6 linked regions of the Macaca mulatta genome follow. The protein of the gene in region 1 interacts with the protein of each later gene in a pairwise test. Links are inferred from orthologs where the notes say so. Each region holds a gene or a part of one and is shown in the gene's direction. Other genes may lie near its edges.

Region 1 (5,325 bases):
AACTCCTGACCTCAGGTGATCCACCCGCCTCGGCCTCCCAAAGTGCTAGGATTACAGGCGTGAGCCACCGCGCCCAGCCTTCATTTAGTATTGTCTAATGATGTTTTCATACTCCAAGAAGAAAGTTCAGTATGGACCACAAAGCCAAAAAGATGTCCTCTCTGGCTCTACAGCAAAGATTTGCCAAGCCCTGTTATATGTCATACTATTTGCGCTTCATAATTTTATAGTTTTACCTAGGCAGTCTCCATTTTTTCCTTCCATATTCAGCGTAAAATCCCCGTTTTTTTTTTTTTTTTGGAGACGGAGTCTCGCTCTGTCGCCCAGGCTGGAGTGCAGTGGCCGGATCTCAGCTCACTGCAAGCTCCGCCTTCCGGGTTTACGCCATTCTCCTGCCTCAGCCTCCCGAGTAGCTGGGACTACAGGCGCCCGCCACCTCGCCCGGCTAGTTTTTTTGTATTTTTTAGTAGAGACGGGGTTTCACTGTGTTAGCCAGGATGGTCTCGATCTCCTGACCTCGTGATCCGCCCGTCTCGGCCTCCCAAAGTGCTGGGATTACAGGCTTGAGCCACCGCGCCCGGCCCGTAAAATCCCCTTAATATCAGTCTCTAGGAAAGCTCATTCTTCATAATCCTTAGAATTGGACCTCCTCTTGTTAATTTCCTTAGTCTAATCACAATCCTCCTGGTTATTTACAAACCGAACGCCAGAAAGGAGGGTTATCAACATCTTATGCGCCACAAATTAACAAATCAAAACCAAATCTCACTCTCCCTCCGAAGCCAAGGCTAAGGAGGCTCACCGCCCAGTTAGTGGCTTTCAAACTACCCTTACAAGTGAGGCATCTTGTGAATTAGAACAACTGCTGCTGCTAAAATCCCTAATGGCTACATAGCAATGTGAAAAAAAGGTATCAAATGTAATTTTCTCAAATTTAATCCTCTTCAATTGTTGGCACAAAAAAAGGAATAATAAAGGTAGACAACTGTAATTAGCATGTGTGATCCCAAATCTTTATACCTTAGATACTGGATATTTTCTACAAGTAAATAGTTTCTGGCTCCCAAGATGAGAGGTTAAATAATGCAGGGTGTTTGTAAACAGCAGCACAACTTACACCGGAAATTAGGGCACTTTCTCACCAAGGAGAGTACATCAAAATTTGCTCATCTCTTTCAATCAATGTTCTCCAGGACTAGTGCTGGGGGCGGGGAGGCGGAGCAAGCTATCTTTTCTACCAGCCGTGTCACACCCCTCCTAGCACTAACCCCTCCTCCTCAGCCTCTTCACACCTCTACCCACTACTAACCCCTCCCCAGCCCCATCACCGCTTCCCGGGCCCCTGACACCTCTCCCAGCATACTCTTCCTGGCCTCATCACCTCACCCACTTCCTCCAAAATCACAGGACCTGCTAAGCTTCCAGCAGCAAGCGAGCAAAGCAGGGAGGCTGTAATGTAAAAGTCCGCAGTCCCTACACAAACACTATCTGCTCCTGCGGAGAAACTCAAGTCACAGCCCCAGAAGAAAGAACAGGCCTGGGCTCTCACCCAGTTAACCAGCGTTTATCCAGCGCACGTGTTGCGGTCGGACCCCATGCGAAGGAGCTAAGGACACAAAGGTGAGCAGCAGAGTCGCGGTTCCAGCTCTCTCCCGGCTCCCACTCCAGCGGGGTAGGTAGATAATTTCGGTAAACTTCGCCAAGCAGGGGCAGGACAAAGAGTATTTGAAGTCTACCCGGGGGAGAACTTACCTAATCCTTGAATGTTAAAAGGCTAAAACTCCACCAGTCGGAAGTGACGTGCCAGCTGAGCCCCGCAGGTCCGCCACGTAATTGGCCGCCGCCACAGCTAGCCACCCTCTCCCCGGACTGGCCCGAAGAGAGGAAAAGTGTGGAAGTCCACAAGCCGCCCTCGCCCCGCCCTCTTCGTCGACTTTCAGCTGCACTGGGGAGCGGCGGCGCCTGGCCAGAGCCGGGGCCTGGAGCCTGGACGGGACAGCCTCGCCGGCCGGGGCGCCCGTCCAGCGCCCTGCGGGCCATGGGCTTCAGCGCTCGAGCACGCGCATGCGCGGGCCTCTATCTCCAGAGGATTCCTCGGGTCACCTGGACGCCAGCATCTCAGCCACCTGCCCCTCTGGGTCCCTTCTTGTCCTTGATTCCTCCTGCTGGTTCTCATCGCCAGCCCTCCTCCACCTCCTCCTTCCGCAGCCACCGCTAGACCCGGCCGCTGCTGCCTGCCGACACCCCAGCTTCCACTGACACGAGCCTCGGCGCGGCTTCCGCTTCCGGCGAGTATTGTGTGTCGCGCCGCGGGGCGGGGGCGAGGGGAGGAGGAAGGAGGGAGGCAGCGCTCCGGCGGCTCCGCGCCCCGCACTCCCGGACCCGAAGCCGGGAAGGTAGGTGCTGTCCCGCCGCCGCGCCCGAGTCTGGGGCCTGCCCCCGCCGGCCGGCTCCGCAAGTCGCGTCCCAGCGCCCCGCGACTGCGTCACCGGCCCCCCGCACGTAACCACAGCTGCCTCCGCCCGCCTCGGGCCCGGGCGGACGTTTTGCCGCCCCGGCGACGTCAGCGCGTCCGGCGTTGCTTGGCTACCCCGCCGTTCCCCCGTCCCGCTGCTGCTCACCTCCCCGGGTGAAACTCTGACGCAGTCACCGCGGGTCTCGGCTGCGTCATAGCGGCGGGCATCCCACCTTCACGTCACACCTCTTCCTCACCTGGACACGCATCCCTCCCTACCCTGCCAGCAACGACGTTTCCTCTTTCCCCTCTCCAATCCCCCTGCCCCAGATCTGGCGGAAGAAAATGGAGACGGGGGTGGGACAGAGTTGTGGACAACCTCTCAGGACAGGGTCGCAAGGTGGGACCCTGAACAGTGGTTTAAACAAAATGAGATCGTCCCTGAAGTTTGCCCTTCAGCTGAGACACAAGGAGTAGAGGGAGACGAAGGACTAACCCAGAGGCACTCAAGGTCTCACTATGACTGTAGTTTAGAGTCCTCTCCATTCTTCCCGAACCCTTTCCCCATTTCTTTCACCACTTCTTTGCCAGTCTAGATCTGTCCTGGTGCCTTACTGTGCATACAGTTCTACTCATCTCAGGTGAGGAGGCCACCTAATTTGTAAAAGACTGAGGAAGGGGTAGGGTCACCACAAGTCAAAGTTGGATTTCCACAGGTAGAGAGAAATCATCTGATTGAACTTCTCTCCTATTGCTGACAGAAAAAATTCAAGTCCAAAGAAGTTATCAGCTCCTACTCCAAACACATTTGTGTGTGCCAACAATATATACAGGAACAATTGTTGTTAACCTACCTCATTACATGGCCACTTATCTCTCAGCACATAGATTTACCAAATTTCCTTCCTTCCAGTAGGTCCCTAGAGAAGGATGGGGGTCAGGAGGAGAAAGGGTTATGGGGATAGATACATCAACTTACCCATGGCTAAAAGTATCGACGTTTTAAGATGGAGTGGGGGACCAGCGTTGTGTTTTATAAATCTCTCTTATGCATTTCCAATTCTTCTGAGGCTGCACTTGAGGGAGATCTCATTGCCTCTTTTCTGTCTCTTAATTCCCAACCACTCCAGAACCTGTTAGTTGGAGACACAGTATGCCCAGGATGTTAGTTATCAATAGTTATATTGAAGGATTCCAGTCACTATAAATAGACTTGTTTCTTTACAAGAAGTTGTTGGCCTGAGCTCAGTAATGTACTATTTAATATAGTTGCCATAATTTATCAGTTTTCAGCAGTTCTGAGTGTCCAAATGAACACAATAGAAATGGAATGTTGCATGAAATATGTTATTCCAAGAAGAGAGCAGACTTCCTTTAGGCTAGTCTGATGGATAAAAGGAAGAATAATTTCAGATTTTCCTGGAAAGAGAAGGTTGCCTTTGCTTCATTCATTCCATTTGTTAGCCTTTAGAACACTGGTATCTAACCTTTTGAATGGGAGGACTCTTTTTACTTATCTGTGGTGGCTGATAAAACAAAAATTATGCATGGACCTTTTGTGGTGGCTGATAGAACAAAAGTTATGCATGGACTTCTTTTTTTTTTAGCTTATCAGCTGTCATTAGTGTCAATGTATTTTATGTCTGGCCCAAGATACTTTTTTTTCCAATGGGCCCAGGGAAGCCAAAAGATTGGATACTGTGGTTTAGAAGAATGAGAGAACAGTGTCAGAGAATCAAGCTTAGACTCCAGTGGATTCATCATAAAGCCCTTATAACATTAAACTTTAAAATATGCTTAATTTAAGAAATGTTAATATTTTTATGACATTTTTTACTTCTCAGATTCCTTTCTTATCTATTAGAAACGTATGTCAAACGAGGATACAGTGGTCTGGAACTATTGGTTCTAAGATACAAGTGGAATGAACCTGGATCAGGAGAAGTATGCTGAGCTAGAGTTGAAGGAAGCTGCTCTTTCTAACAAGAGAAAGCAGAGGTAAGAGACAAGATAGATAAATTGGGGGTTGTGTGTCAGTTTACTAACAAGAAAAAAAGGTTAATGGCTGGGAGTCACAAGTTTTGGAAATGGAGAAACAAAGAGATTGAATTGATTGAAAGAGAAGATGGAGAATAACAAGATTGGGCAAATCTGGAGTTAGGACTTAACAGGGATAAATGTTGGGCCAGGGATGCAAAAAAAAAAAAAAAAAAAAAAAACACCTCCAATTAATATTTTTATTTTTTCTGTCCTCTTCCCCACTCCCAAGTTAAATTATGGCAGAGACAAGTCTGTTAGAGGCTGGGGCCTCTGCAGCCTCTACAGCTGCGGCTTTGGAGAACTTACAGGTGGAGGCAAGCTGCTCTGTGTGCCTGGAGTATCTGAAGGAACCTGTCATCATTGAGTGTGGGCACAACTTCTGCAAAGCTTGCATCACCCGCTGGTGGGAAGACCTAGAGAGGGACTTCCCTTGTCCTGTCTGTCGAAAGACATCCCGCTACCGCAGTCTCCGACCTAATCGGCAACTAGGCAGTATGGTGGAAATTGCCAAGCAGCTCCAGGCCGTCAAGCGGAAGATCCGGGATGAGAGCCTCTGCCCCCAACACCATGAGGCCCTCAGCCTTTTCTGTTATGAGGACCAGGAGGCTGTATGCTTAATCTGTGCAATTTCCCACACCCACCGGGCCCACACCGTTGTGCCACTGGATGACGCTACACAGGAGTACAAGGTGGGGAAGCAGACACATGATGTCAGTGTGGGTAAAAAAGGAGCAGTGGCAGAGGATGAAATACTCCCTAGGTAGAGATCTTAAGCTTCTACTACTCACTTTGTATTCTCAGAGCTGCATATGCAGGGGTACACAGTATGT
Region 2 (5,093 bases), on another chromosome or scaffold:
TAAGTGTAGGTTTTGTTTGTCTAATGTCTGATTATCAAATGAATACGGAGATCTAAATCTTTGTATAATATCTTGGTCTATTTCTGTGAGCTAGATTCCCAGATGTGGAATAATCCCGAGTCAAAGGATATGAACATTTTTAAGGCTCTTGATCTGCATTGCCAAATTGCTTTGCAAAAAAGATTGAACCAATTTACACTCCCACCAGCAGTGTATGAGAATATATTTAAATGCAAATCCCAAGCTGCAGAACATCTCTTTCTTAGGTATTTCAACTTAAAATTTTTTTTTTCGTGCTAAGCAAAAGCTGACCCAGGATGTTAAAAAAAGAAAGTCTGACATAAAAATGGAGCAGATAGTTAAAACAGCTTCTTAGGCAGAAATAAGCTTTCGAAAGGCCCAAGCAGGATGATAAAAATTTTAAGGCATCATAGCACGAAGCACAATTCTAAAGGGACCATTAACAGTTTGGCTGAGATTGGAAAAGTAACCGCCAAGAATGCTGGGCGTGGTCAATGTCCCAAATTCTAGATTAGAAAAAGCAGGGTGTTTCACTCATTTACACTTCACTTTCGCCTAAGGACGATTTAAGATACCCAAAGGCAGGATCTTGATAAGTAGTATTGTTTGAATCAGTAATCCCGTGAAAATGAAAGAAATCCACGCCCCCTGAACTAAGGTCAGCGTTTATCTCTTCTTTCCAGGCGTTCCATCAGGACGCCTCGCCTCTAATCTCAGTTCGGTTTGCCACAACTACCGCCTCCACCCCTAATAATGGGGTCCCATGATTTTAGGGAAGACACGGGTGGGCAGGCAAGAGGAAGCCCAGATTCGGGGTACCAACCCACAGAGCGCCATATAAATTCAAAAGGTGCTGGGACCTCAACGTTCGGCCCCCCGAGCCCGTTATTTGGGAAACCGCCCCGTCCCCGCCTGCGAGTCTTCCACGACTACTTCTCGGTTCCCCCGTGCTACCCGCTTCCACCGGCAAGAAGAAACCGACGGCCGAGGAGCCAGGAACTCGATTTCGCCCCTTCCCACTCCTCTTTTCTCACTTTTGTTCGGCTTTTCCTGCTTTCCCTCCCTTCTCTCCTTTCTTCGCGTCCTCCCTCTCTCCTCCTCCCCTCGCCTCCAGTCCTCCCCCCACTGAGCCCCCTGCGTCCCCTCCCCCGCCTCACCCTCGCACCGCTCCACCCGCAGCCCCGCCCTCAGCCAATCAGAGCGCGGCCTCCAGGGGCCCCGCCCTTCCCCGGCGATTCCGGGCGGGCCGGGCCGAGCCCAGGCCGTGGGTGCGGAGGGCGGCGCCGCGGGGCGGGGGCCGATGGGTCCTGGCGGACGGGAGGCGCCGGCGCGGGGCTCGCCTGGACGCGGGTGTGCGGGGCTGTGAGGGGGCGAGGCGGGCGCTGCGGCCCGCCCGGGATGGGCCAGCCCTGGCCTGGCGGGGCTGAGCCGAAGGCGAGGGCGGCGCGCGGGCCAGGCCTGCCGAGCGGGCGGCCCAGGGGCTGAGGTAGAAGTGGGCGCGGAGGAAGGGGCCGAGCCAAGGCGGTGGGTGGAGCGGCGAGGGGGGCGGAGGCTGGGCCGCGGCGGGCGAGCGGAGCGGCGCGCCTGTCCGGAGCTCGGCGGTGGCGCCGGAGGAGGCTGCGGCGGCGGCGGCCCGGACGAGCGTCCGGAGGTGGCGGACGAGGCGCCGGGGGCCCCCATGGGCGGGTGTGTGGGCGCCCAGCACGACTCCTCGGGCAGCCTCAACGAGAACTCGGAGGGCACCGGAGGTAGGTGAGCGCCAGGGGGCAGCCTCGGCCCCCCATTGTTCCCGGCCAGGCCCGGCCACCTGTCCCGACCCCCGCGGGCCCCGCCGGGCTCCCGTGCCCCTTTGTCATCCCCTCTTCCACGTCATTCCCCGCGCTCCGCTTCCGGCTGCCCTGCCGGCCGCGGGGATCGCCCCTTCCCGCCCCAGCTGCGAAGAAAAGTCCTCTGAGCGCCGGGGACGTAGCCCTCGGCCTCGCCGATCGCTCCGCTCGGCTCGGGGAAGTCGGACCCGAAGCTGCCCTTCTGGCCACCTCACTCCCTCTCCAGCCCGTTTAATTATTGAGAAACAGGATGGCGGCGCCGGGGTTGCGGAAAAGCAAATTGATGGCGGGGGGAGGGAGCTTGATGCGTTCCCTCCAACGGGCCCCGCCACATCTTTCCGCACCCTTCCTTGTTCAGTGGAGTTGGCTGGTCTCAGCTTTCCTGAGTTTCAGATGACAGCTGCCCCGGTTGGTTCCAAATTGGCCATTTAAACCCGCGAGTTTCTGGAGCTCGGCTGGGGGAGACTCCAGTGGCCGCAGGCATTGTATTAAGGAGGGGAGGGGAAACGGTCTTCCCGGGTAAAACGTGGCTTCTTGCTAGAGCTTGGGGGTGTTAGGCCGGTGTGCTGTCGGGGTGGGCTAATCAAATTCCCATCTGGCTTACGTAGAAGGAAAATTATGCAGGATAAAAGTACAAATGCAGTTGGACTCTGACTTACCCCAGTAAGATTAGTACTTTAAAAGTTTTCTAACACGGGAACGCACATCTACTTTATAGTAAAGGCGTGCTGAGGATAGGTATTTTAATTCAATCAGTAGTAGTTGTAGTATGGCAGTATAATAATAAAATTAGTTCTACCTTTATTTGACCTTTGGTTACGTCCATTCTGTAAAATATTTTAGTTATAAACAGCCTTTAGGCAAAGATGATAGCGTTGGTTTGATTTTTGACCTAATGTTAGCCGCCTTAAAATGTGCATGTTTGTAAATTTTTAAATTGTTTGGGTGTGGGAGGGTTTACAACTGTTTCTTAGCATACTGACATTTAGACCAGTTGCTTGCCATGTCACTTAAGCTCTCTTCACAAACCATGTACACCTAAGTTTTTTGACTGATGGATTTCCTGGCTTCCATGATGGTTAGCCATGCCACTTTATTAAAATCTATGGGTATCCTGTATGGCTAAATCCTGGGTAAATAACTTGAGAACTCAGTGAAAGTTGTCTTGAAAAAGTCCATGAAAATGCTACTTTATAGTGTATTTTATGTCGTAGCATTATTACTGGCACATTGAGACCCTCAGTGACAACAAAGCAGGAAGATAAAAAGGGCATGATTTAAAACAGCCTTGGGTTAAGGTCAAATTGGGGGTCAAAATGAATCTTCCTCTAGTTGTGGTGGTCATTAATGGTTCTGAAATATATTAGTATTTGTTATAGCTAGTGTTTGGTTTTAATTAAATTTTTTTCACACTCATTTTAATATTGTCGTAAGCATTTTGTTCTTCTCGGTAATGCATGTGGATTAATTTATTTAAGCCTTTTGGTAGTGTGACTTATGACCAGACAGGCATTATTAATATGGGCTTTAAAAAGCGTGAAATCTTAGCTTTGGGTAATTTATTACCAGTGGTATCCAGTTAGATAGCTATAGTATCAGTTTCTTTGAGGACTGAGTTCTCTGGACCATAAGCTGTGCTATACATAAAGTTTAGAAAAAGGAACATCAGCCACCAAACGTCTTTGTATTCTTTTGGAGAGAGTGCATGGGCCCTGATGTAACTGGGGTTGGGGAAGAGGCTCTTGGGCTAAAGGATTATTTCTGGAATTTGATTATGGACACTTTTATTCTCCATTATTGTCGTGATAATTAAGAGTTAATTGTGGTTTAGTGAAATTAACTCAGGTGTGTTGCAGGTTAACATATAAAAAAATTATTGCTTATTAAGTAGATTGTTGGGAAGGGAAAGACTTTTTCCTGAGGGTGTTGGCACAGATCCCTAGCTTTTCAAACATACTGTGGTAGTGAGTGAGGTTTGGGGGGGTTGTGGGGAGCTTGGTTTGGTTTCTCCAGACAGGTTCTTGCTTTGTCGCCCAAGCTGGAGTGCAGTGGCACAATCACAGCTCACTGCAGCCTTGACCTCCCTGGTACAAGTGATCCTTGTACCTCAGCCCCCCGAGTAACTAGGACCATGAGGTGCATTCCACCACACCCGGCTTATTTTCTTAAAATTTTTAGTAGAGGCGGGTTTTGCCGTGTTTTTAATCTGAATGTATTTGGTTATGAAAATTGTTGTATCAACATGGAGTCTTCACATGCTTCTTATAACGGGTTTAAACTTTTCATGACAGGTTTAATTACATTCACCAACCAGGCGGGGTGGCTCAGGCCTGTAATCCCAGCACTTTGGGATGCTGAGGCGGGAGGATTGCTTGAGCCCAGGAGTTGGAGACCAGCCCAGGCAACATAGTGAGACTCTGTCTTTAAAAAAATAAACAAAATAATTACATTCACAGGGTTTTGCAAACATCACCATTTTGGAATAGCTTGACCCTTTCTAAATATCAGCCAGCCTTAGTAAGAAAAAGATTTTTAAAAAAGTCTTTTGACCATTTGAAATACTATACTTTCCTTTTTCCCTCTGAATCCATCTCTTATGTATGCAAGTAATTATGTATATATCAATAAAAGCTTCCTCACTAGGTGTATTACTTCTTTGAAGGAGTTTGGGAGATTTTTATAAGAGACTGTAGAATGTGGAAGTGGCTTAATTCACATTCTAGGCTTTGCATTATCTGCTGTTTTGGAATTAATTGTTGTATTTTCCTCTGGCGTATACCTTGCCTAAAATTTAGTTTTTGAGCTCCAGCTACTTAGGCTTTTTTTAAATAAAAAAAAAAACTTTTATTTTTATATTTTGTTATTGAGATAGGGTCTTGCTCTGTCACCCAGGTTGAAGTACTGTGGCATGATTATAGATTACTGCAGCCTTGAACTCTTGGGCACAGGCAGTCCTCTGGTCTCAGCCACTTGAGTAGTTAGGCTGCTTTTTTTTTTTTTTTTTTGAGATGCACTCTTGCTGTGTTGCCCAGGCTGGAGTGCAGTGGCACGGTCTCCGCTCACTGCAGCCTCTGCCTCCCAGGTTCAAGAGATTCTCCTACCTCAGCCTCAGGAGTAGCTGAGATTACAGGTGCCCACCACCATGTCCAGCTACTTTTTTTGTATTTTTAGTAGAGACGGGGTTTTACCATGTTGGCCTGGCTGGTCTTGAACTCCTGACCTTTAAGTAATCTGCCTGCCTATGCT
Region 3 (4,559 bases), on another chromosome or scaffold:
TTGAGACAGTCTTGCTCTGTCGCCCAGGCTGGAGCTCCGTGGTGTAATCTCAGCTCACTGCAGCCTCAACCTCCTGGACTCAAGCGAGCCTCCCACCTCAGCCTCCCAAGTAGCTGGGACCACAGGTGTATACCACCACACTTGGCTAATTTTTAAAAATTCTTTGTAGAGATGGAGGTCTCACTATGTTGTCCATGCTGGTCTTGAACTTCTGGGCCCAAGCAATCCTCCCTCTTCAACCTCTCAAAGTGCTGGGATTACAGTCTGAGCCACTGTGCCCAACCAAGAATTGAATATTTCTATAGGGGCATAACTAGAATCAGCGTGGCCACAATCAAATTTTCTAGTCCTTTTCAAGGGAAGTTTGTTGTCAGCTACTAGGACAACTTAACCAGGTCCTATATTTCACAGCATATATCTTTTTTTTCTTTTTCTTTTTTTTTTTTTCTTTTTTTTGAGACAGAGTCTTGCTCTGTCACCCAGGCTGGAGTGCAGTGGCATGATCTCAGCTCACTGCAACCTCCACCTCCCAGGTTCAAGCAATTCTCCTGCCTCAGCCTCCCGAGTACCTGGGACTACAGGCGCCCGCCACCACGCCTGCCTAATTTTTTGTATTTTTAGTGGAGACGGGGTTTCACCGTGTTAGCCAGGATGGTCTCGATCTCCTGACCTTGTGATCCACCCGCCTCGGCCTCCCAAAGTGCTGAGATTACAGGCGTGAGCCACCGCGCCCGGCCCTAACTGGTTTTTTTCTTCTTTTTATTGAGACGGAGTCTCACTGTGTCGCCCAGGCTGGAGTGCATGGCACGATCTTGGCTCACTGCCAACCTCTGCCACCTGGTTCAAGCAATTCTCCTGCCTCAGCCTCCCAAGTAGCTGGGATTAAAGGTGCCTGCCACCACGCCTGGCTAAGTTTTTTGTATTTCTAGTAGAGATGGGGTTTTGCCATGTTGGCCAGGCTGGTCTCAAACTCCTGACCTCTGGTGATCCGCTAGCCTCGGCCTCCCAAATTGCTGGGATTACAGGCATGAGCCACCGCACCTGGCTGACAGCATATATCTTATAAGAGGTACCCTTTTTTGGTAGGTAGAGAAAATTTGAAAATGTGTTTCTGAGACTTGTATAACTTATTTGGTCCATTAAAACTGTGAGAATAGGGGCCGGGCGCGGTGGCTCAAGCCTGTAATCCCAGCACTTTGGGAGGCCGAGACGGGTGGATCACGAGGTCAGGAGATTGAGACCATCCTGGCTAACCCAGTGAAACCCCGTCTCTACTAAAAAAATACAAAAAAACTAGCCGGGCGAGGTGGCGGGTGCCTGTAGTCCCAGCTACTCGGGAGGCTGAGGCAGGAGAATGGCGTGAACCCGGGAGGCGGAGCTTGCAGTGAGCTGAGATCCGGCCACTGCACTCCAACCTGGGCGACAGAGTGAGACTCCATCTCAAAAAAAACAAAAACAAAAACAAAAAAAACTGTGAGAATAACTGTAAAGAAAAAGTATAAAATATGCTTTACCATGTGAAGGTAGAAGAAGACAACTAAATATTGTCAAAGAGAAAAAAGAAAGTCTGGCCAGGTGTAGTAGCTCACACCTGTAATCCCAGCACTTTGGGAGGCCAAGGTGGGTGGATCACGAGGTCAGGAGATTGAGACCATCCTGGCTAACGTGGTGAAACCCCATCTCTACTAAAAGTACAAAAAATTAGCCAGGCGTGGCGGCACATGCCTGTAGTCCTAGCTAATTGGGAGACCGAGGCAGGAGAATCACTTGAACCCGGGAGTTGCAGTGAGCTGAGATCGCACCACTGCACTCCAGCCTGGGCAACAGAGCGACACTCCATCTCAAAAAAAAAAAAAAAAAAAGTCTGCGCTAGTCGCCTCAGGAGCTGGACAGTCTACGTGGGAGCATAGAGAGGGCTCCCAGAATAGGGAAGCTGGAAGGATTCTACCTGGAAATAAGAAGGCTAGGATGTGAAGAGATTCTAGTTTCTGAAAGGGACATCCAACAAGATGTTAGTTCCTAATAATGAGAGGGTGGGGAGTGAGCAAAATGTGGCACTAGTAGACTGTGGGTTATTGGGTAGGAAGGGGGTGCTTGGTGGACTCTTTGGTTTAGCCTTCTCTGAAGATAGCCATGAGAAATAGCGGAGGCTCTGGGATCAGACATATCTTGATTTAAATTCTGATCCTTATGTGATTTGAGGCAGGTTTCTAGACCTATCTAAAGTCTCAGAGTCACTAAACTCAAAATCAGAAGCAAAAATCAGCTACAGACTATCTTTAAGATTCACCCAGAGTCCTTTGCTCTTCCTTTCTCCTTTAGGTGATCTGGTGCCAGCCGGTGGAACAGTGGGTGATGGCATCCCTGCTGCAAGACCGTGAGTGTCCCTGCAGGGGAAAAGGGCTTAGCATATAGCTCAGGGAAGGGAAGGAGGCTGGACCCCTGTTTGAGAGCTTTCCCTGGGCCTGCTACCCTCTCTGCTGGCTACCTAACCCCTGCTTTTCCTGACCTAGGGCTGACCACTGATCAGGACTTGCTGCTGATGCAGGAAGGCATGCCGATGCGCAAGGTGAGGTCCAAAAGCTGGAAGAAGCTAAGATACTTCAGACTTCAGAATGACGGCATGACAGTCTGGCATGCACGGCAGGCCAGGGGCAGTGCCAAGCCCAGCTGTGAGTGACCTGGATAGTGGGGGGTGGATATATGGGTGGATAGAGTCCTGAGGAGCCTGGCAGGGGAGGGACCAAAGTCCTATGATGGTGTGCGTTTGTGCTGTCCTAATTGTGGCTATATCTGAGCCTGTAAAAAGAGATCATAACACTACTTGCCTCATAAGGCTGTAATGAGGATTAAATTAGTTATTCTATCTAAAAGGCTCAGGAGAGTACTGGAACATAGTAAAACATAATAAATCATTGGTTACATCTTGTTATTATTATTATAAGACCATCATCTTGGGCATCAGCCTGCCTGAATTAAAGCCCTAGCTCTGCCACTTTCTGAGTAGCTGTGGAAAATCAAGTAGTTAAGCTATGGCTGGGCCTGGTGGCTCAATGCCTGTAATCCCAGCAATTTGGGAGGTCGAGGCAGGGGGACTGCTTGAGACCAGAAGTTCAAGACCAGCCTGGATAACATAGGGAGAGCCTGTCTCTATAAAAAATAAAAATAAAAAATTAGCCAGGTGTGGTGCTGTACGCCTGTGGTCTCAGCTATTTGGGAGGCTAAGATGGCAGGATCACTTGAGCCCAGGAGGTTGAGACTGCAGTGAGCTGTGATCACACCACTGCACTCCACCTGGGTGAGTGAGACCCTGTCTCTAAAAAAATACATGTATACATACATACATACATACATACATCAAGCTTCAGTTTCCTCATCTGTAAAATGGGGATTAAACAGTAGGTTACAAGGACTCAATTAGTTAACATGTAAAACACTTAGCATGCGATGTAAAACCAGAATGCATTTAATAAATGTTAGCCATCATGATAAATATTTTTAAATACAAAATTGCAGCCAGGTGTGGTGGATCATGCCTGTAATCCCAGCACTTTGGGAGGCCGAGGCAGGCAGGTCACTTGAGGTCAGGAGTTTGAGACCAGCCTGGCCAACATGGTGAAAACCCATCTCTACTAAAAATACAAAAATTAGCCGGGCTTGGTGGCAGGCACCTGTAGTCCCAGCTACTCGGAAGGCTGAGGCCAGAGAATCGCTTGAACCCAGGAGGCAGAGGTTACAGTGAGCCTAGATTGTGCCATTGCACTCCAGCCTGGGTGACAAGAGCAAAACTTGGTCTCAAAAAACAAAATAAAACAAAAAACAAAACAAAGTAGTGTGCACTTATTGGCCGAACTCTTTATAATAACAGGAAATAATTTGATCACAGGACACATCTAAGAGAGTCTGTTTTAGAGACAAATTGCTCACAATCCGTACCACCCCCAGCTGAGGTAAGAGGGTGAAAGAATTTCTCTGATTCCCTCGTAGACATCTGGAAAGAGGAAGCCCTCAAACCTGGAATGGGAGAACTGGACTTAGGGATATAATGCTTTAGTATAACTGCTTCTGCCTTTCAAATGTATTTCCATTTGTCATCCCCACCAGTCCTCCTGTGATCACCATTGGGGCTGCCTATGGAAGGGGACTATCCATTATATCAGATGAGGACACTGAGGAGTTAAGTCATTTTGGTTTGTGTCATACTGCCAGCTTGTGGCTGGAAGCCATGTCTTGCCACTCCCAGCACAGGCCCTTTGCCATGCTGCCTTTGAAAACATCAGTGATTCATATGGACTCCTGAATCCCTGGGGTCTGCATCTCTCTGTACTAATGCTTTTTGGGATTCAGTCTGCAGAGGCTGGGGTTCTTTTCTATGGTGTCATGGAGAAGGGGGTGCTGGTCCTTCACTCTTAGCCCCTGCTATTTGTTGGACTCCCTTCCTCAATGCCTTCACCTGCTTCTTCTCTGGCAGTCTCAATCTCTGATGTGGAGACAATACGTAATGGCCATGATTCCGAGTTGCTGCGTAGCCTGACAGAGGAGCTCCCCCTGGAGCAGGG
Region 4 (5,256 bases), on another chromosome or scaffold:
GGGCATATGCAATTCTAATAACTGCCAGAGTGCTATGCAAGGCCCAGTCCTTGTCAATCTTCTTTTCCTATTTAGTACACTCTTTCAGGATGATCTCATTCAATGTCATGGCTTTTAGCTACCATCTATGAGGCTATGGTTTTGAAATCTCTATCTGTAGCCCATTTCTTTCCCCTGAACTTTGCCATTTGGGTGTCCCATAGACACCTGATGCTCAATGTGTCTACATATGAACTCATCTTTCCTGTCTCACCCACACTGCTCTGTGTTTTCTAGCTTAGAGAAAAAAAGTGCTGCAATAGCCACCCAAGGTAGAAATCTGGGCATTTGTGACTCCTTCATCTCTCTGCCTCTACCTCTGGTTAGTCATTAAAGAATTCTTTTACATATATATATATATATATATATATATATATATATATATATATATATTTTTTTTTTTAGGACAGAGTCTTGCTCTGTTGCCCAGGCTGGAGTGCAGTGGCACGATGTTGGCTCACTGCAACCTCCGCCTCCTGGGTTCAAGCGATTTTGGTGCCTCAGCCACCTGAGTAGCTGGGACTACAGGCGTGTTCCACCATGCCCGGCTAATTTCCTCTTTTACATTTTTAAAATCTTTTTCTGACAGTTGTTTCTCAGCCGGAGTTGTACTAAAGCGCCTAACTGGTCTTTTTTCTTTAATTTTTTTCCAGACAGGATCTCCCTCTGTTGCACAGGCTGGAGTGCAGTGGCACTACCTCAGCTCACCACAACCTCTGCCTCCTGGGCTCAAGCAATCCTCCCACCTCAGCCTCCCAAGTAGCTGGGACTGCAGGTACAAGCCACTACGTTCAGTTAATTTTTGTATTTTTTGTAGAGACAGGGTTTCACCATGTTGTTCAGGCTGGTCTTAATTCCTGAGCTCAAGCTATCTGCCCGCCTTGGCCTCCCAAAGTGCTGGGATTACAGGCCTGAGCCACCATGTCCCGCCTGGTCATTTTTCTCTAGGCTCTCTCCTTTCCCAAACTTTTCTCCATGTTGCAACCAGGGTTCTTTTAAAGCTCACACGTGTTCTTTTAGTCTGGCACTGCAGAGTACTCCTGGATCTGGACCTACTCCTTTTCCGGACTTTTAAATTTTTATTTATTATTTATTTATTTATTTATTTGAGACAGAGCCTCTCTCTGTATCCCAGGCTACAGTGCAGTGGGCGATCTCGGTTCGCTGCAACTTCTGCCTCCCACGTTCAAGCGATTCGCCCACCTCAGCTTCCCTAGTAACTGCGATTACAGGCGCGTGCCACCATGTCCGGCTAATTTTTGTATTTTTAATAGAGACGGGGTTTTACCATCTTGGCCAGGCTGGTCTCAAACTCGTGATCTCAAGTGATCCACCTGCCTCGGCCTCCCAAAGTGCTGGGGTTACAGGCGTGAGCCACCGCGCCCTCAGTTCATTTTTCTTTTTAAGCCCATTATAGTCTCTGTAAGTCCTATCAGTTCCAAGAGACTTTCTGCACAAATACATCTCCAGGTTGTCAAACCTAAAAATATTTTCCTAGAGGATGGCCTGTGACGTCAAGGCGCCAGGTAGACCCCGGAGGAAAGCTCCAAAGGAGGCCGCCATCTTTCTTACAGCAGCCCGGCATTTTGCGCATGCGCTTCTGATTGTCTGTCCGCAATGACGCTCTTCGGCCTTCTCGGCACCCATACGTTTGGGAACGGCAGTTTCGAGGTTTGTGAGACTTCGGCTTCCGACCGGAAGTGAGAAGAGCAGGAAGTTGGCTGGTTCCACCGGTCTGGGGGCTTCCCGGGCTCCGGTAACCGGAGGACTGGGATCTAATCGTCGCTCAAAGGCTCCTAGGTGCGCGGGTGCATATAATTCCCGACTTCTCGAGAAGACACTAGAGCCTCAAGGAGGTGTGCTTCTAGTGTTTAAGTGGACACGTGTTGTGGATGCTGGCTTAGAAGGACCTATATACCATCATTTTAAAATAACTTCCTCTTGGCTCTCTCTTTTTTTTTGAGACGGAGTTTCGCTCTTGTTGCACAGGCTGGAGTGCAACGGCGCGATCTGAGCTCACCACAACCTCGCCTTCCGGGTTCAAGCGATTCTGCTGCGTCAGCCTCCCGAGTAGCTGGGATTGCAGGCGCTCGCCACCAGGCCTAGCTAATTTTTTGTATTTTTAGTAGAGACGGAGTTTCTTAATGTTGGTCAGGCTGGTCTCGAACTCCCAACCTCCGGTTGATCCGCCGGCCTCGGCCTCCCAAAGTGCTGGGATTACAGGTGTGAGAAACCGCGCCTGGCCTTGGCTCTCTTTAAAAGGCATTTTTAGGCTAGCCGCAGTGACTCTCCCTCCTGTAGTCCCAGCTACTCGGGAGGCTGAGGTGGGAGGATCGCTTGAGCCCAGGAGTTCGAGGTTATAGTGAACTAGGAACTCCCCCACTGCACTCCATCCTGGGCTACAGAGCGAGATCCTGTCACCAAAAAAGAAAAGGGTATGGGGGAAAGGCATTTTCAGAGCGATGGAATGCCTAGATTCTAGTTTGGTCCCAACTCTGCTACCAAGTTGCTGTGTGTATCCTGTCCCTCTCTGAGTCTCAATGTCCTCATCTATAAAAATGAAGGTCCCTTAAGACACTTTTCAGTTCTTCTGAATTTTGTTGCCTCTTTATTATCTCGTTTGAGCCACATAACCTTGGGAGTTAAAAATCATTGGCCTTTGGCCGGGCGTGGTGGCTCACGCCTATAATGCCAGCACTTTGGGAGGCCGACTCACCTGAGGATCATCTGAGGCCAGGAGTTCAAGGCCAACCTGGCCAACATGACAAAACTCTGTCTCTACTAAAAATGTAAAAAAAAATTAGCCGGGTATGGTTGTGGGTGCCTGTAATCCCAGCTACTCGGGAAGCTGAGGCAGGAGAATCGCTTGAACCTGGGAGGCGGAGGCTGCAGTGAACAGAGATTGCACCATTGCACTCCAGCCTGAGCGACAAGAGTGAAACTCTGTCTCAAAAAAAAAAAAAAAAAATTGCTGGTCTCATTTTATGAGGAAGATACTGAGTCCCAGGGTGAGGGGTTATAGACAGGACTTTCTCAAGATTGCACAGGTAACTTGGAGGTTTCAGAACTTGAGACTAGAAGGCAATGCTGTAACTCCATGACCAGATCTCCTTTTTATATTTCTGTATCATCAGTTCCTGGAACTGGCCATGTAAGACACTGAAATGTTTTTAAATGAATGAATCTTTTGATTTGAAGGCCAGTGCCACAACAGATTTGGTCTCTCTCGACTACTCTGATGTATAAACAAGTGAACTCTTTTCCAGGTATATCCCGTGCCTTACCTGACTGGGGGCTCTGAGTCCAGTTGTGTTGTCTTCAACTTAGACACCATGGAGGCACCTCCAGTCACCATGATGCCTGTCACTGGGGGCACCATTAACATGATGGAGTACCTATTGCAGGGTAAGTGAACCAGGGAACTTGGATTACCTGTTTTCCTCTTCTCTGTTCAGCTTCCCTTAAGATGAGAGACAACACAAAAGCAGCCTGCACAGTTTCTGGCACCCAACTATGTTTTTAACTGTTACTTTAAATTACAGTTTTACATGCACTAAACATATTAAATCTGCCATCTTGGCTGGGTGCAGTGACTCACGCGTGTAATCCGAGCACTTTGGGAAGCCGAGGCGGGTGGATCACGAGGTCAGGAGATTGAGACCATCCTGGCTAACACGGTGAAACCCCGTCTCTACTAAAAATACAGAAAGAAATTAGTCCGGCGTGGTGGCGGGTGCCTGTAGTCCCAGCTACTTGGGAGGCTGAGGCAGGACAATGGTGCAAGCCTGGGAGGCGGAGATTGCAGTGAGCCGAGATCGCGACACTGCACTCCAGCCTGGGCGACAGAACGAGACTCTGTCTCAAAAAAAAAAAAAACCTTAACATATTTAAGTGTACTGTTCAGTATTGTTAAGTATATTAACATTGCTGAACAACAGATCTTTAGAACTTTGGTTTATTGTGAGTAGCTTGAAAAAATACTTAGTACAACTGTTTTTTTCTTTGAGACAGAGTCTCGATCGGTCACCCAGGCTGCAATGCAGTGGCATGATAACAGCTCATGCAACCTCCACTTCCCGGTTCAGTGGATTCTTGTATTTCAGCCCCCCGAATAGCTGGGATTGCAGGCGTGCATCACCATGCCCGGCTAGTTTTTGTATTTTTAGTAGAGAGTTGCAGTTTCATTATGTTGGCCAAACTGATCTTGAACTCTTGCCTTCAAGTGATACACTTGCCTTGGCCTCCCAAAGTGCTAGGATTACAGGGATGAGCCGCCACGCCCAGCCTAAAATGCTTGTTTATCATCCTATAAAACTGCAACTCTTTACCCCTTAAACACTAATTCCCACTCCCCTCTATGCCAAACCCTCAGCAGCTATCTTTCTAGGTCCTGTTTCTCTGATTTTTTTTTTTTTTAAGATGGATTCTCACTCTGTTGCCCAGGATGGAGCACAGTGGTGCAATCTCAGCTTACTGCAGCCTCCACCTCCCAGGTTCAAGCAATTCTCCTGCCTCAGCCTCCTAAGTAGCGGGGTTACAGGCGTGAACCACCATGGCTAGCTAATGTTTGTATTTTTAGTAGAGACGGGGTTTCTCCACGTTGGCCAGGCTGGTCTTGAACTCCTGACCTCAGGTGATCCACCTGCCTTGGTCTCCCAAAGTGCTGGGATTACAGGCGTGAGCCACTGCGCCAGGCCAGATTTTGTCAACAAGTATCTGAATATGTTCCAAACATTTGAGCCATAGCCATGGAGGGAGAAAGATGACTAAAAAATAATGTATGTCAAGCCAGCTATTACAGGCTTATGACTGTAATTCCAGTCGTTTGGGAGGCTAAGGCTGCAGTATTGCTTGAGTTCAGGAATTCAGGATCAGTCTGGACAACATAGCAAGAACTCACCTCTACTAAAAATAAAGAAAACTTAGCTGGGCATGGTGGTATGTACCTGTAGTCCGAACTACTTGGGAGGCTGAGGTGGGAGGATCACTTGAACCCCCAAGATGGGGGCTGCAAAGAGTTATAATCTCGCCACTGCTCTATAGCCTGGAGACAGAGTGAGACCCTATCTAAACAACAACAACAACAACAACAAATCTATGCCATAAAAATAAAGCAGGAAAGTGGCTAGAGATTGGTAGGACACATACTATTTTATTAGGGTGATCAGAAAAGGCCCTGATGATAAAGTCACTTGAGCAGACCTGATAAAAGTGATA
Region 5 (5,147 bases), on another chromosome or scaffold:
ATTTGCTCCTTGATGCTTCCAAATTACCCTGCACATCCCTCTTATAGAATAGTTGCCTCTCCCAGCATACTATAAGTTTCCGGTGGGCACAGATCTAACCTAATTTGTATTTATATTCCTTAGGCTTTGCATCATGTTTGGGAAATAATATGTGTTCAACAATAGTGGCATGACTGAATCAAAGTGGAATACTGCTAACGAACAAAGTATTTTATTTCCAGCAGATTCACTATTCTTTTCTTACACATTCTAAAGGTTAATACGCTCAGTTTGCAAGAGAAATGTGTCCTTACTTCTCTCCAAGCATGCGAAATTTCCAAAATTTTTTAAACTACCCATTAGACAATTTTATATTGTTACTTAAACCCAAGATCTGAAGCCTTCCTAACATTCAATAACTTTTTAGTAGACTTTTTTTTCCTAGAAGAGCAAAGTCTCAGAACTCCACGGAAGCCTGGAAATTGTTTTATTCTAATTTTAGATAAGCTGTCTGAACTAAGAGATCTCTGAACTTGTCAAAAGCAGGCAAGTGGGGGTCTGGGAAGAAGATAAAAACAAACGCCACATAAAACGTCATGGAGCAAACTAATCAAGAACTTTGGCAAGAAACGGAGAGAAAGTCTTAAGGAGGACACCCAGAACATCTCCAGCTCCTCCTGGCCCGACTCCTCGCCTCCTCTTAATTCCAGCCAGTCAGAGCGCGGGGCCATCCGCCACTCCCAGGATGCCACGCGACGGGAGCGGACGCTGCGAGGATGCACCTCCACACGTCAACCTCCCACAAACAGCGTGGCTTCGTGGCTTGAGCACCCGGTTCGGACGTGAACGCCTGGGTCCGAGTCCCAGCTCCCCCTCCTGCCTTGTCTGCAGCCCTGCGCAAGTCCTCTTGCCCTCGCTGAGCCTCAGTTTCCTCATCTGTAAAATGTAATAATTCCCTATAATTGGCTATAGGGAGATGAAAAGTGTAAATGGTTTTAAGGAAGACACAGGCAACTCTCCAACTTGTTACGGCTCTGAAGCTCGCGGTGCTCACTAACCAGCCTTGAGACCAATCTCTCAAAGTCACCCGCTCCTCCTTTCCCGCCCGGCGCCTGTACCGAGGCCGCTCCCTCCTGTTGGCCCCCATGCGGAAGGCGCGCGGCGCCGTCTGCCGTACCTGCAGCCACCTGGTCAGCGGGGCCCTCTTGTTGACCCATGACGAAGTCGTGCACGAGGCCCCATAGGGCGCCCGTAGGCGCCGCCGCCTCCAGAGCCGCGGCGGCGGCCATGACGCGAACAAGAGACCGTGGGAGGGGATATGGGCGGTGGCAAGAGACGGGCCTCTCCGCGCATGCGCCTCCCGAGGCAATCGCGGGGAGAAGGCCAAGGGGGCGGGGCGCACCGGGTCACGTGCCTACCGGCTTCTAGCCAGGCAGTTCCAGGGAGGGGCGGGGCCTGGAATGGGGCGGCGGCACCGAGAGGGAAGGCGGCTGCTGGGCACGCAGCCGGAGGCCATTGAGGGCGAATAATTCCCGGCCCGGCTCCCCGGGAGACGGGCGGCGGGGCGGGCACCTGGCTGGGTGGGGAGAGGGGCGGTACGCACCACGGGGGAAGCCAATGAGAAAATCAGGCCCAGCCCGAGGGGGCGGTGCTGTCGGTCACATGCGCACCTGGGGCGGGTGGTGGCGGCGGCGCGGGCACCGCGAGCCGGCGGTGGGGAGCGGGGCCGGCCTGGGGCGGGGTTAGGCAGGTGAGTGACAGGCTCCAGGGGGCCGGCCCCTGCCTGGAGCCCCGAGCGACCGGGAGTAGCTGCGGCGGTGCCCGCCCCCTCTCTCCGCCCCTCCAGCGGAGCTGGTCTCCGGCCGGGCACCGTCGCGGGCCCCCCTGGCCCGGCCACCTGGGACTGTGCTAGGGAGTCTGCCACCTCCCTCTCTCCCCTGGCCCGCAAAGTTTTGGCGGAGCCAGCGCCGGGGCTGAGCGCGCCCCCGGGGGGAGATCGGGGAGCGCCAGATGCCGGGCGGCCGGAGCCGTTGACCCGGGACGCCGCCGTCCGGGGCAGGAGCGCGGAGCAGCCGACCACCTCGCCGCCTCCGGTGCATGGGGACTGGCTGAGGAGCCAGCATGGGCAACTGCGTGGGGAGACAGCGGCGGGAGAGGCCGGCAGCCCCGGGACACCCCCGCAAGCGAGCAGGTAACGACGGGGAAGGGAGCAGGGCCTCGGGCACCCCGCCAGTTGTCCCCCTCCTCGCCCGAGCTCTAGGCTTACCGATAGACTCCCCACTGGTGCTGGCGCTTGGGTTTCCCCGATAGCCTGCTCCGCAACCAGACGGGGCCGCTCCCCAGCGCCGGGCGAGCTGAGTTGGGGCAACTGCGAGCACTGAGCCGGCTGCGCGACCAACTCTCTCCAACTGGGAAGCTCCTGGTGGGGGTGGGGGCAGGAAATGTTTGCAGACCGCAGCGGGGCCGACGGATTGGGGGGAGGGCCCGGGGCGAGGGCGCCGCTGGCCTGGCAGCTCCGGCCGGGGTCGGACACCGGCCCGTCGGGGCACGGCGCGGGCAGCCAGGCGTCCCCAGAACTTGGAGCGAGCGGGGCGAGAACAGTCGCTCCTTCCAAAGACTGTGTCATTATCGGGCTGCAGATCGTGTCTGCCGGAATCCGACTTGCAAAGCAGCGCAGGACTCTGGGAAAGAAATCTTTATTTTTCCCGCAGGGGTTTTTAGAGCCTCTCGGTCGTCTGGGAGTCTATAAAAGATGGGGTGCGGGGTGAGATTCACCCTCGGAATTGTTGGGATCCTTCCTAGCTGTGGGAGTGAGATCGCTCGCTGGTGATTCTCGAGGCCGGGACAACGCTTTCTCACTTTCATGGTACACCCCGCCTGCCCTGGCATTTCGCCCCGGAAAGAGGTCTGTAGGTCATTTTTCTGGGTCTTACACTCACTTCCTTCTTTGAGGGTGTTGCAAGGACCTGCTGGGAATAAAATCGTAGACTTGAGAGCTCAAAGGGACCTTCAAAACTTATCTGGATTCCAGATGGATCTTTGTCCTCCTCTCCATGTCAAAGCCCAGATCCCAAGAGGTTGAGCACCTTGTCCAAAGTCACACAGCTAGTTAGGAGCACAGCTGGGGCTAGAACTCAGCCTCCTCTCCCACCCCATTGCCACATATCCCCTTATGTAAGAGGAGCCACAGGCAGAGTTGTTAATGAAGTGGAAACTCTAGTTGGAGTTTCCTGTCTCCCTTGACACCGAAGGTGTGTTGCTTGGGTTGCGGAAACTGGGAAGGAAGATGAGGGAACCAGGGGAAGCAGGGAAGGATGTCTGCGTGGTGGACAGGATGACTTGTGGAGGAAGAAATGTGTTTTTATGGGAAGGATGGAGTAAAACTTATTGAAATTCTTTTGTCTGAAGGTAACTCTGCCCATTCTTCTGACTGAGGAGAGATGACTCAAAACCAAGGACTGGCTTGCTTTCATTCATTCATTTGTTCAACAAATATGTGTTCAGTCCCCATAATTGATTTAGCAGCATTTTTTGCTGTTGACAACTCTCTCCCATGAGACATTCTCCCCCTTCCTTTCTTGGCATCAGACTGTCTTGGTTTTCCATTCTAAACACCCCTTTCCACCATCACCTTCTAGGTGGGGGGCGCACTGGTGCTTCAGTTTGACATTCTGTTTTTTCTCTCATTACACTCCCTCCCAGAGAAATCTTGTTTAGTCTCACAACTCTTTGTCCATTGGGAAGACCCCTATGCTTAATCTTCAGCTCTTCTCTCTTGAACCCCAGAACCCCATCTCTAGATGGCCACTGGACACTGCGATATAGATATTCCCAGATTTGACACTTCCAAAATCAGGCTCTGTATTGTTCCCTGTCCAGCAGCTTTCCTTCTTTACTCATGTTCTTCCAGCTGCCTAACTTTAGGCTGTGAAGAGCTCTCTCTCTCATGACTTTCTCTGCTTCCTTGTCACCTGCCTCGAAGCCAGCCAGTCCCTGGGGTCTGCTGGCTCTTCCTTCCGCAGGTCTTGCGAACCTGTCCCTTGCCACCCCACTTCATACCCTTCTCACCTCAAGTCAACCCTTGTCTCAGGCTGAAGTGAGGTACCCCCCAAAGGCAACTTCATCTTCAGTCATTATCCAGTCCTACACAGAGTTGTCCCCTCAGAAGACATTTGCTAAAATAACTTCTTCCAGATTTTATAGTTCTGTGTTCAAAATATTTCTGTACTTGGCCAGGCATGGTGGCTCACACCTGTAATCCAGCACTTTGGGAGGCCAAGGCAGGCAGATCACCTGAGGTCAGGAGTTGGAGACCAGCCTGGCCAACATGGCAAAACCCTGTCTCTACTAAAAATATAAAAATTAGCCAGGCGTGGTGGCAGGCGCCGGTAATCCCAGCTGCTCAGGAGGCTGAGGCAGGGAGAATTGCTTGAACTGGAAGGCAGAGGTTGTAGTGAGCCCAGATTGCGCCACTGCACTCCAGCCTGGGTGACAGAGCGAGACTCCATCTCAAAAAAACCCAAAACAACAACAACAACAACAAACACCTTTCTGCACTTTCCCACTCCTACAAGTACTTTAACTGTCAAGGCCGTTCCTTTTAAGTCCTAATTTCTTTCCCTTCTCTGACATTAAGACCACCAGTGTTTGCTCGTGCCATTTCCTTCTTATTGAGAGTGTTTCATCCCTTGGGTTCACTTCAAGTGCCGTGTCTTGTTTGAAGCACCTTGCCTGACAAGTCTGCCATTTCCCCCTCCCTCCGCACCCCACCACACACACCCGGTGGAAGTGATTGCTCCTTCTGAGAACTCCTGCAGACACATTATCTATGCCACTTACTTAACAATTATGTACTCCGTATTATTAGTTGTGTCTTTGATGTTTACAGTCTTTTATCAGCAACTACATTGCAAGCCTCGAAGACCTGGGTTCTGTCTTATCCTTGTGTATATGTCTCACTCATATAGCCTCACGCACACACATTCAGCACTTAACACAATGAGTTGTACAGAGGTAGCACTCAGTATTTGTTGATTTTAGAAAGCTAACTCAACTTTATCCTACCATCTGCATTTTTCATATATCTGCATTTTTTTTTACCTGCTAGTTTATCATTGCTTTAGTTCTGTGTGTCCTACTATGAATAGCTTTATTCATAAAGTCCAAAG
Region 6 (5,245 bases), on another chromosome or scaffold:
TTTTACTGATTGGCTAGGTGAAGGAAGTGCATGAAGTATAAACTTCTAAAATGACACCCTTATTACTTGTTCCAAAATGTTCTATTCAAAATGTTTCTCAGTACCAAACCATTATTACTATGCACCTTAGAAACCACTTCCTTTTCTAAAAATTATTATCTTTAGAGATAGGATTTCACCATGGGGCTCAGGCTGGTCTCCAACTCCTGGGCTCAAGTGATCTGCCCCGACTAGGTCTCCCAAAGTGCTGGGATTACAGGCATAAGCCACCGCGCCCGACCAGAAACCACTTTCAAACTTACTTTCTACTTAAAATATTTTATACTTTTTGTTTTGTATTGTTTGAGACATAAACTTGCTCTGTGGCCCAGGCTGTATGTAGTGCAGTAGCGCGATCTCGCTCACTGCAACCTGCGCCCCCCAGGTTCAAGCGATTTTCCTGCCTCAGCCTCCAGAATAGCCGGGATTACAGGCGCCTGCCACCACACCTGTCTGATTTTTGTATTTTTAGTAGAGACGGGGTTTCACTATGTTGGCCAGGCTGGTCTCGGACTCCTGACTGCAAGTGATCCGCCGCGCCAGCAAAAGCGTTTTACTCTTATCTGTACTCATTTACACATTCAATATTTATAGAGTGCCTACTATCACCAAGCACCTTTGTAGGCCTAGGTTTACAGAAATAAGGCTCCCCCTCCCCCATCCCAGTCCCCTGAAGGGCACTATAATTTCTATTTCTCCAGTTTTCAATTTAATATATATGAATTTTCACACGCTTCAGTTCAGTGGTTCTCATAGTGTGGTCCCCGAACCAGCACCAACAGCAGCAGCAACTGGGAGACTTGTTAGAAACGCAGTCTTAGGCCCGCTCCACACTCTAGGGATGGGCACAGGAGTGTGTGTGTGTGTGGTGTGTGTGTGTGACAGAGAGTGTGTGTGTGTCAAGCTCGGTATTAAATAGGTCAAAGATCAACATCTGACTTGTAAACCCACCCTCAGGCCTCTCCACCGAGTACCTGTCTCAAACCCAATCTGATCCAACAATAACCAGCCTTAATTCGATAATCTGTGCTACCTGAGATGATGGGAATAATCGTGGTACTATAAATGTTGCAGAACAAAAACGACTGCAGTGGATTTTCTGGGGCTACACCAACTGAAAATGGGCCGGACCGAGATCCGCGAGAGCGTTTTCCTGCGCTAGACACGGCGTTCAGCCTCCGGGTTCCGGGTCTAGCTGAGTCAGGGCGGCGTTCCAGCCGAGTGCGGCTTCGGGAACCCGTTCGGCTGCGCGCGAACCTTCGGTCAGAGGCCAGCGCTGGAAGCCCCGACCACAGCACCTGGGTTTAAACAGGAGCGGAGGCGCCGGGTAGGACCGGGCGGGCAGGCTACGGCCGGCCACCTTGGAAGCCGCGCCCTAGCGGCCCCAGACGCCGGCAGGGCGGAGCCACGCGGCCGCAGCCCCAGCCGAGACGCGAGCTCGTGGCTCGGGCGTATGGGGGCTACAACGGGAGCGGCTGCGCCGCCCGGCCGGGTCAGCGTCGTGCGCATGCGCCGACCCGGCGCCATTTTGGTGGCCGGGCGCGGAGGTGATTCCACACTGAGGCGAGCGCGGCGGCCGGGGTGGTAGTGGCAGTGTTCGTGTGCTCGGGTCTGAATCGCCGGGGGAGGAGGCGGTGGAGGAAGAGGTGGCGGCGGTGGCGGTGGTCGTAGCGGTGGCGGAGGAGGCGGGTACGAATCAGCTGCGGGCGGAGACATGGCCAACATCGCGGTGCAGCGAATCAAGCGGGAGTTCAAGGAGGTGCTGAAGAGCGAGGAGGTCAGAAATGAACTCCCGGATATCCCCCATCTCTGCCTGGAGCGGGAGGGTCCTCCCAGCTGCGACCCCGATATCCTCGGTAGTCCCTGGGTGGCCCTCCTTGCGGCCGCCCTTCTGCCTGTGAGGAAGCAGCAGTGTTCCCCTCCTCCTTCCGCCGCCTTCCCCTCCCCTCCCAGAGCGCTAGGATGAACGGTCTCGCGGGCGGGTGGTCTGGGGTGGAACACGGTTTGGGGAGCTGATGGACAGGGGGGAGCTCCTCGGAGGGATGGAAGCTCACGAGAGAACCCGAGGCGGTGGCCACAGCTGGAAATGTGGCTGTGGGGTGGGGAGGGAGCAGGCCGAGCCTGAGAAAACCCGGGAAGTGGGTTGGGGGAAGGGGAAAGGTGGTAACTGGATACGAAGAGCAGTGCTGCTCAAAGGCCCACACTTTTGAGGGTATTTGGGGTTATTGCTTGTCAGGCCTTCACTGTTCTTTTCGTAGGGGAGGAGCGGTGAGTCCAAAGGTATTGATTAGAAAGGAAGGACATTCAGAGTTAGTCCTTCTTAGTTGGGTGTTAGGAGTCAAAGGGAGACATAATAGAATACTGTCTTATTTGGTGGCGGGGGTAAGGGAATTTTCACCTGAGTTAGCAAGTTATTCCAAACGAGATAATTATGTCTTCCACTTAACCCCCAAATTCGTAGGCCTCATTTTTATTGACATCACAATCTTTTTTGAGTGGGCAAAGGCGAGGTGTTTGGTGTATTAAAGACATGTAAATATTTTTAGTTAGGAAAAAAATAATGGGTTGTATGAGTAGTTTATTTCAAAATATTGTTTACAAGTTACCGATCAGACTGTCCTAAGACAGTGCCTCTGTGACTCGTGTTGTGCCACGAAACTTCATTATGATGTCCCTCATAGGTAACTTGATTCTTACTTTTGAAAAGTAGACCTATTAAAAATGTGAGATTTCACCAGATTAATACATTATTTCATCTCCTTATTGAGTAGATTTATCACGACTTAACAGATTTTCAAAAAAATTGCCTGCCATTGCTCTTAAGTTCTGCAGAATTTATATACATTAGTACTACGTTTATGTAAGATATTCACAATGCTCTAGTAATTTGACTCAAAATTATGCAAGTATTAGTACAGTGTGTCGTACCAAGATGAACAAGAATGCCAGATTGTCTTCCCCACATGAATTAAACAAAAAGTAATACAGAAAATGATTATTTTCAAGATTCACATACCATTATTGAATATATCATTGCTATTTTTGTTTTTCTTTTACGGTTAGTACTTTGATAGTGTCAATAATGATTTGTGAAATTCAGCATTCTAAATATGTGATGAGTATACATGGAGAAAAATTATTTAAAATTCAAAAATGACAACAGACTTATTGAAAGTAGTAGTATGTAAGTCATGATCGGTTTTACAGAGCATGTGTATGAACTCTGACCTCTGTGTTCATATGCCAAAACTCTGAATGGAAGGATGACTTTGTATTTTGTGGTACAGCGCAGAAATAGAGTCAATAAGTGTCTGTACTGATACAGTGAAACAGCAATTTTAACTTATTTAATATGAAAATGTATTCCAGGTTAGCTGACATACATACTCCTAATGAAAGATAGCAGCTAATATTGTTGCCAACAACCTAAAACATTTCTTGTTTAATAAGGTTGTACAAGCCTGAAACTTAATAGACTTTTAGTGCTTTATTTTCTGTTACAAGTGGTAAGTTACTGCTTTGGTAATTAATATGGTCTCTTTGCTTTTTATGAGCTCACTTTTCACTGTGAGATTCGTAGTACTTAAGTTGAAGATTACCAGAAATACTTGTATTGCTCTCTAGTAATGCATATTGTTAAAACAAACAAACAAACAAACAAAAAAACACTGCTCTTTATACATAAGGGATGAGGAAGCCTTACTTCAGATAAGCATCAAAAGTGTTTCAGAAGAAGAAAACAGGAAATGCAGACAGGTTTTTTGTTTGTTTTGTGTTGTTTAGAACAGTACCTGTATAAATATGGAAGGAAACTTCTTTTGGGAAAATCAGTTGCAAAGAACATTTAGGAAAGAGTCACATCATTTAATCTTGCAATAAATATAACCAATAAATAGCTTATTTTCGCCAGTATTTTTTGATATTTTAGTAGCCCCAGTTCTATAAGTGGATTATTTTCAACTCATTGAAGACTTGTAGTATAGTCCGTGTGTTTCCTTTTTAAGGGTGTAAATCCAGTCTTTTGAATGGCTGATCAAATAAATATTTCATCATGTCACTTTTTTGGTAAATCTGCACTTTACCAAAATTTATTTCATGTGCTTGTATGCTTGCGTTTACTAAGAACACTGGTTGATTTAAGGACTTTTTGGGGTGGCCTTGTAAGTGCCTTTGTAAAGATAGCTGACGCTTACTGGATTCTGGTTATGAGAGATTATAAGTGACCATTCTTAGAGTGTGTTAATTAAAATACAGCCAACAAGATAAATGTGAAAAGCAAGATGCAGAATAGTGTGGAAGAAGCCACCATTTGTGTTAAAAAGAGGGGAATATGTGTATTTGTCTTTATAGGCAAAAGGTTTCACAAGAAATTGGTAAAATTGATTGCTTTCTGTGTAGAAAAATTGGGTCTCTGGGGCATGGGGTATAGATATTTTTTTAATTTTGTGTCATACGAATGTGATTTACTCAAAGGCACCAGTTGGCCTCTTTCCCTTCAGACAGTGTTTGGAAATTTGTCAGATGTTTCTTTTTATTTATTAATATTTATTTTCTTTGTTTTAGATGTTTGTTTTTAAATACGAGTGTGAATTTTAAGCAGTTTTAAATAATATTCCAAAGTTGTTAGGCATGGAATATTGATGTAAAGTACGTTTTATAATTTATGAGTAGGATTACATTTTATAATTTATGAGTAGGATTACATTAGTAAATTGTTTATTGTGAGGATATAAACCCATAATCAATGTTTTATTCATAGGTTGTATTATTTACTATTAGTTATTGCTGCTGTTAATAACTAGTTGTCATTTGTAGAATGGCTAGTTGTTCTTAGTGTTGTTTGTTTATACGTTATTGCTAATTCTTAAGAATAGTTCTTTAGATTTTCTATTTCCTAGATGAGAAAAATAGAGATTTAGAGAAGTTAAATTATTTGTTTGCAAACACAGAGCCTGGGATTTGGATCTAGGTCAGCTTGTGTTCATATTGTACCACGCTGTCATGACTTGCCAAGGATAGGCATGCTTTTAATTAACTTAAAAAATCGAGCCTGGTTTGTATTACTGGTTAAAGGATTTAAACACAGTTTAATTTGCTAGTTTAAACTCATTGAAATAAGTGTTACCTATAATTAGCTTTAAGATTTACTTGAATTTCTTTCTTTTTTTTTTTTTTTTTTTCTTTTGAGAAGGAATCTAGCTATCTC

The links.
Region 2: the proteins of TRIM39 (region 1) and UBTD2 interact in a two-hybrid assay, tested with the Homo sapiens proteins (2 studies listed by BioGRID and IntAct). The link is inferred for Macaca mulatta from reciprocal best matches to the Homo sapiens genes TRIM39 and UBTD2.
Region 3: the proteins of TRIM39 (region 1) and PLCD4 interact in a two-hybrid assay, tested with the Homo sapiens proteins (2 studies listed by BioGRID and IntAct). The two-hybrid records come from large-scale screens. The link is inferred for Macaca mulatta from reciprocal best matches to the Homo sapiens genes TRIM39 and PLCD4.
Region 4: the proteins of TRIM39 (region 1) and MED18 interact in binary tests that used the Homo sapiens proteins (3 or more experiments, as listed by UniProt). The two-hybrid records come from large-scale screens. The link is inferred for Macaca mulatta from reciprocal best matches to the Homo sapiens genes TRIM39 and MED18.
Region 5: the proteins of TRIM39 (region 1) and UBTD1 interact in binary tests that used the Homo sapiens proteins (3 or more experiments, as listed by UniProt). The two-hybrid records come from large-scale screens. The link is inferred for Macaca mulatta from reciprocal best matches to the Homo sapiens genes TRIM39 and UBTD1.
Region 6: the proteins of TRIM39 (region 1) and UBE2K interact in binary tests that used the Homo sapiens proteins (3 or more experiments, as listed by UniProt). The link is inferred for Macaca mulatta from reciprocal best matches to the Homo sapiens genes TRIM39 and UBE2K.

The regions. Positions count from the first base shown.
Region 1 is NC_133409.1:152,700,890-152,706,214, reverse strand, and holds the start of TRIM39 (E3 ubiquitin-protein ligase TRIM39), read left to right. Parts: upstream 1-1,813; 5' UTR 1,814-2,396; exon of another isoform or gene 2,397-2,966; intron 2,967-3,051; exon of another isoform or gene 3,052-3,096; intron 3,097-4,299; exon of another isoform or gene 4,300-4,319; 5' UTR 4,320-4,453; intron 4,454-4,724; 5' UTR 4,725-4,731; coding exon 4,732-5,184; intron 5,185-5,325.
Region 2 is NC_133411.1:181,147,437-181,152,529, reverse strand, and holds the start of UBTD2 (ubiquitin domain-containing protein 2), read left to right. Parts: upstream 1-1,586; 5' UTR 1,587-1,699; coding exon 1,700-1,769; intron 1,770-5,093.
Region 3 is NC_133417.1:123,854,037-123,858,595, forward strand, and holds part of PLCD4 (1-phosphatidylinositol 4,5-bisphosphate phosphodiesterase delta-4), read left to right. Parts: intron 1-2,322; 5' UTR 2,323-2,355; coding exon 2,356-2,377; intron 2,378-2,513; coding exon 2,514-2,672; intron 2,673-4,104; exon of another isoform or gene 4,105-4,443; coding exon of another isoform or gene 4,444-4,471; coding exon 4,472-4,559. UniProt on the Homo sapiens protein: Hydrolyzes the phosphatidylinositol 4,5-bisphosphate (PIP2) to generate 2 second messenger molecules diacylglycerol (DAG) and inositol 1,4,5-trisphosphate (IP3).
Region 4 is NC_133406.1:212,601,304-212,606,559, reverse strand, and holds the start of MED18 (mediator of RNA polymerase II transcription subunit 18), read left to right. Parts: upstream 1-2,085; 5' UTR 2,086-3,023; coding exon 3,024-3,086; intron 3,087-3,305; coding exon 3,306-3,444; intron 3,445-5,256. UniProt on the Homo sapiens protein: Component of the Mediator complex, a coactivator involved in the regulated transcription of nearly all RNA polymerase II-dependent genes.
Region 5 is NC_133414.1:109,547,781-109,552,927, forward strand, and holds the start of UBTD1 (ubiquitin domain-containing protein 1), read left to right. Parts: upstream 1-1,781; 5' UTR 1,782-2,100; coding exon 2,101-2,170; intron 2,171-5,147. Other genes in the region: MMS19 nucleotide excision repair protein homolog, read right to left, coding at 1,157-1,268. UniProt on the Homo sapiens protein: May be involved in the regulation of cellular senescence through a positive feedback loop with TP53. Is a TP53 downstream target gene that increases the stability of TP53 protein by promoting the ubiquitination and degradation of MDM2.
Region 6 is NC_133410.1:38,909,631-38,914,875, forward strand, and holds the start of UBE2K (ubiquitin-conjugating enzyme E2 K), read left to right. Parts: upstream 1-1,704; 5' UTR 1,705-1,753; coding exon 1,754-1,816; intron 1,817-5,245. UniProt on the Homo sapiens protein: Accepts ubiquitin from the E1 complex and catalyzes its covalent attachment to other proteins. In vitro, in the presence or in the absence of BRCA1-BARD1 E3 ubiquitin-protein ligase complex, catalyzes the synthesis of 'Lys-48'-linked polyubiquitin chains.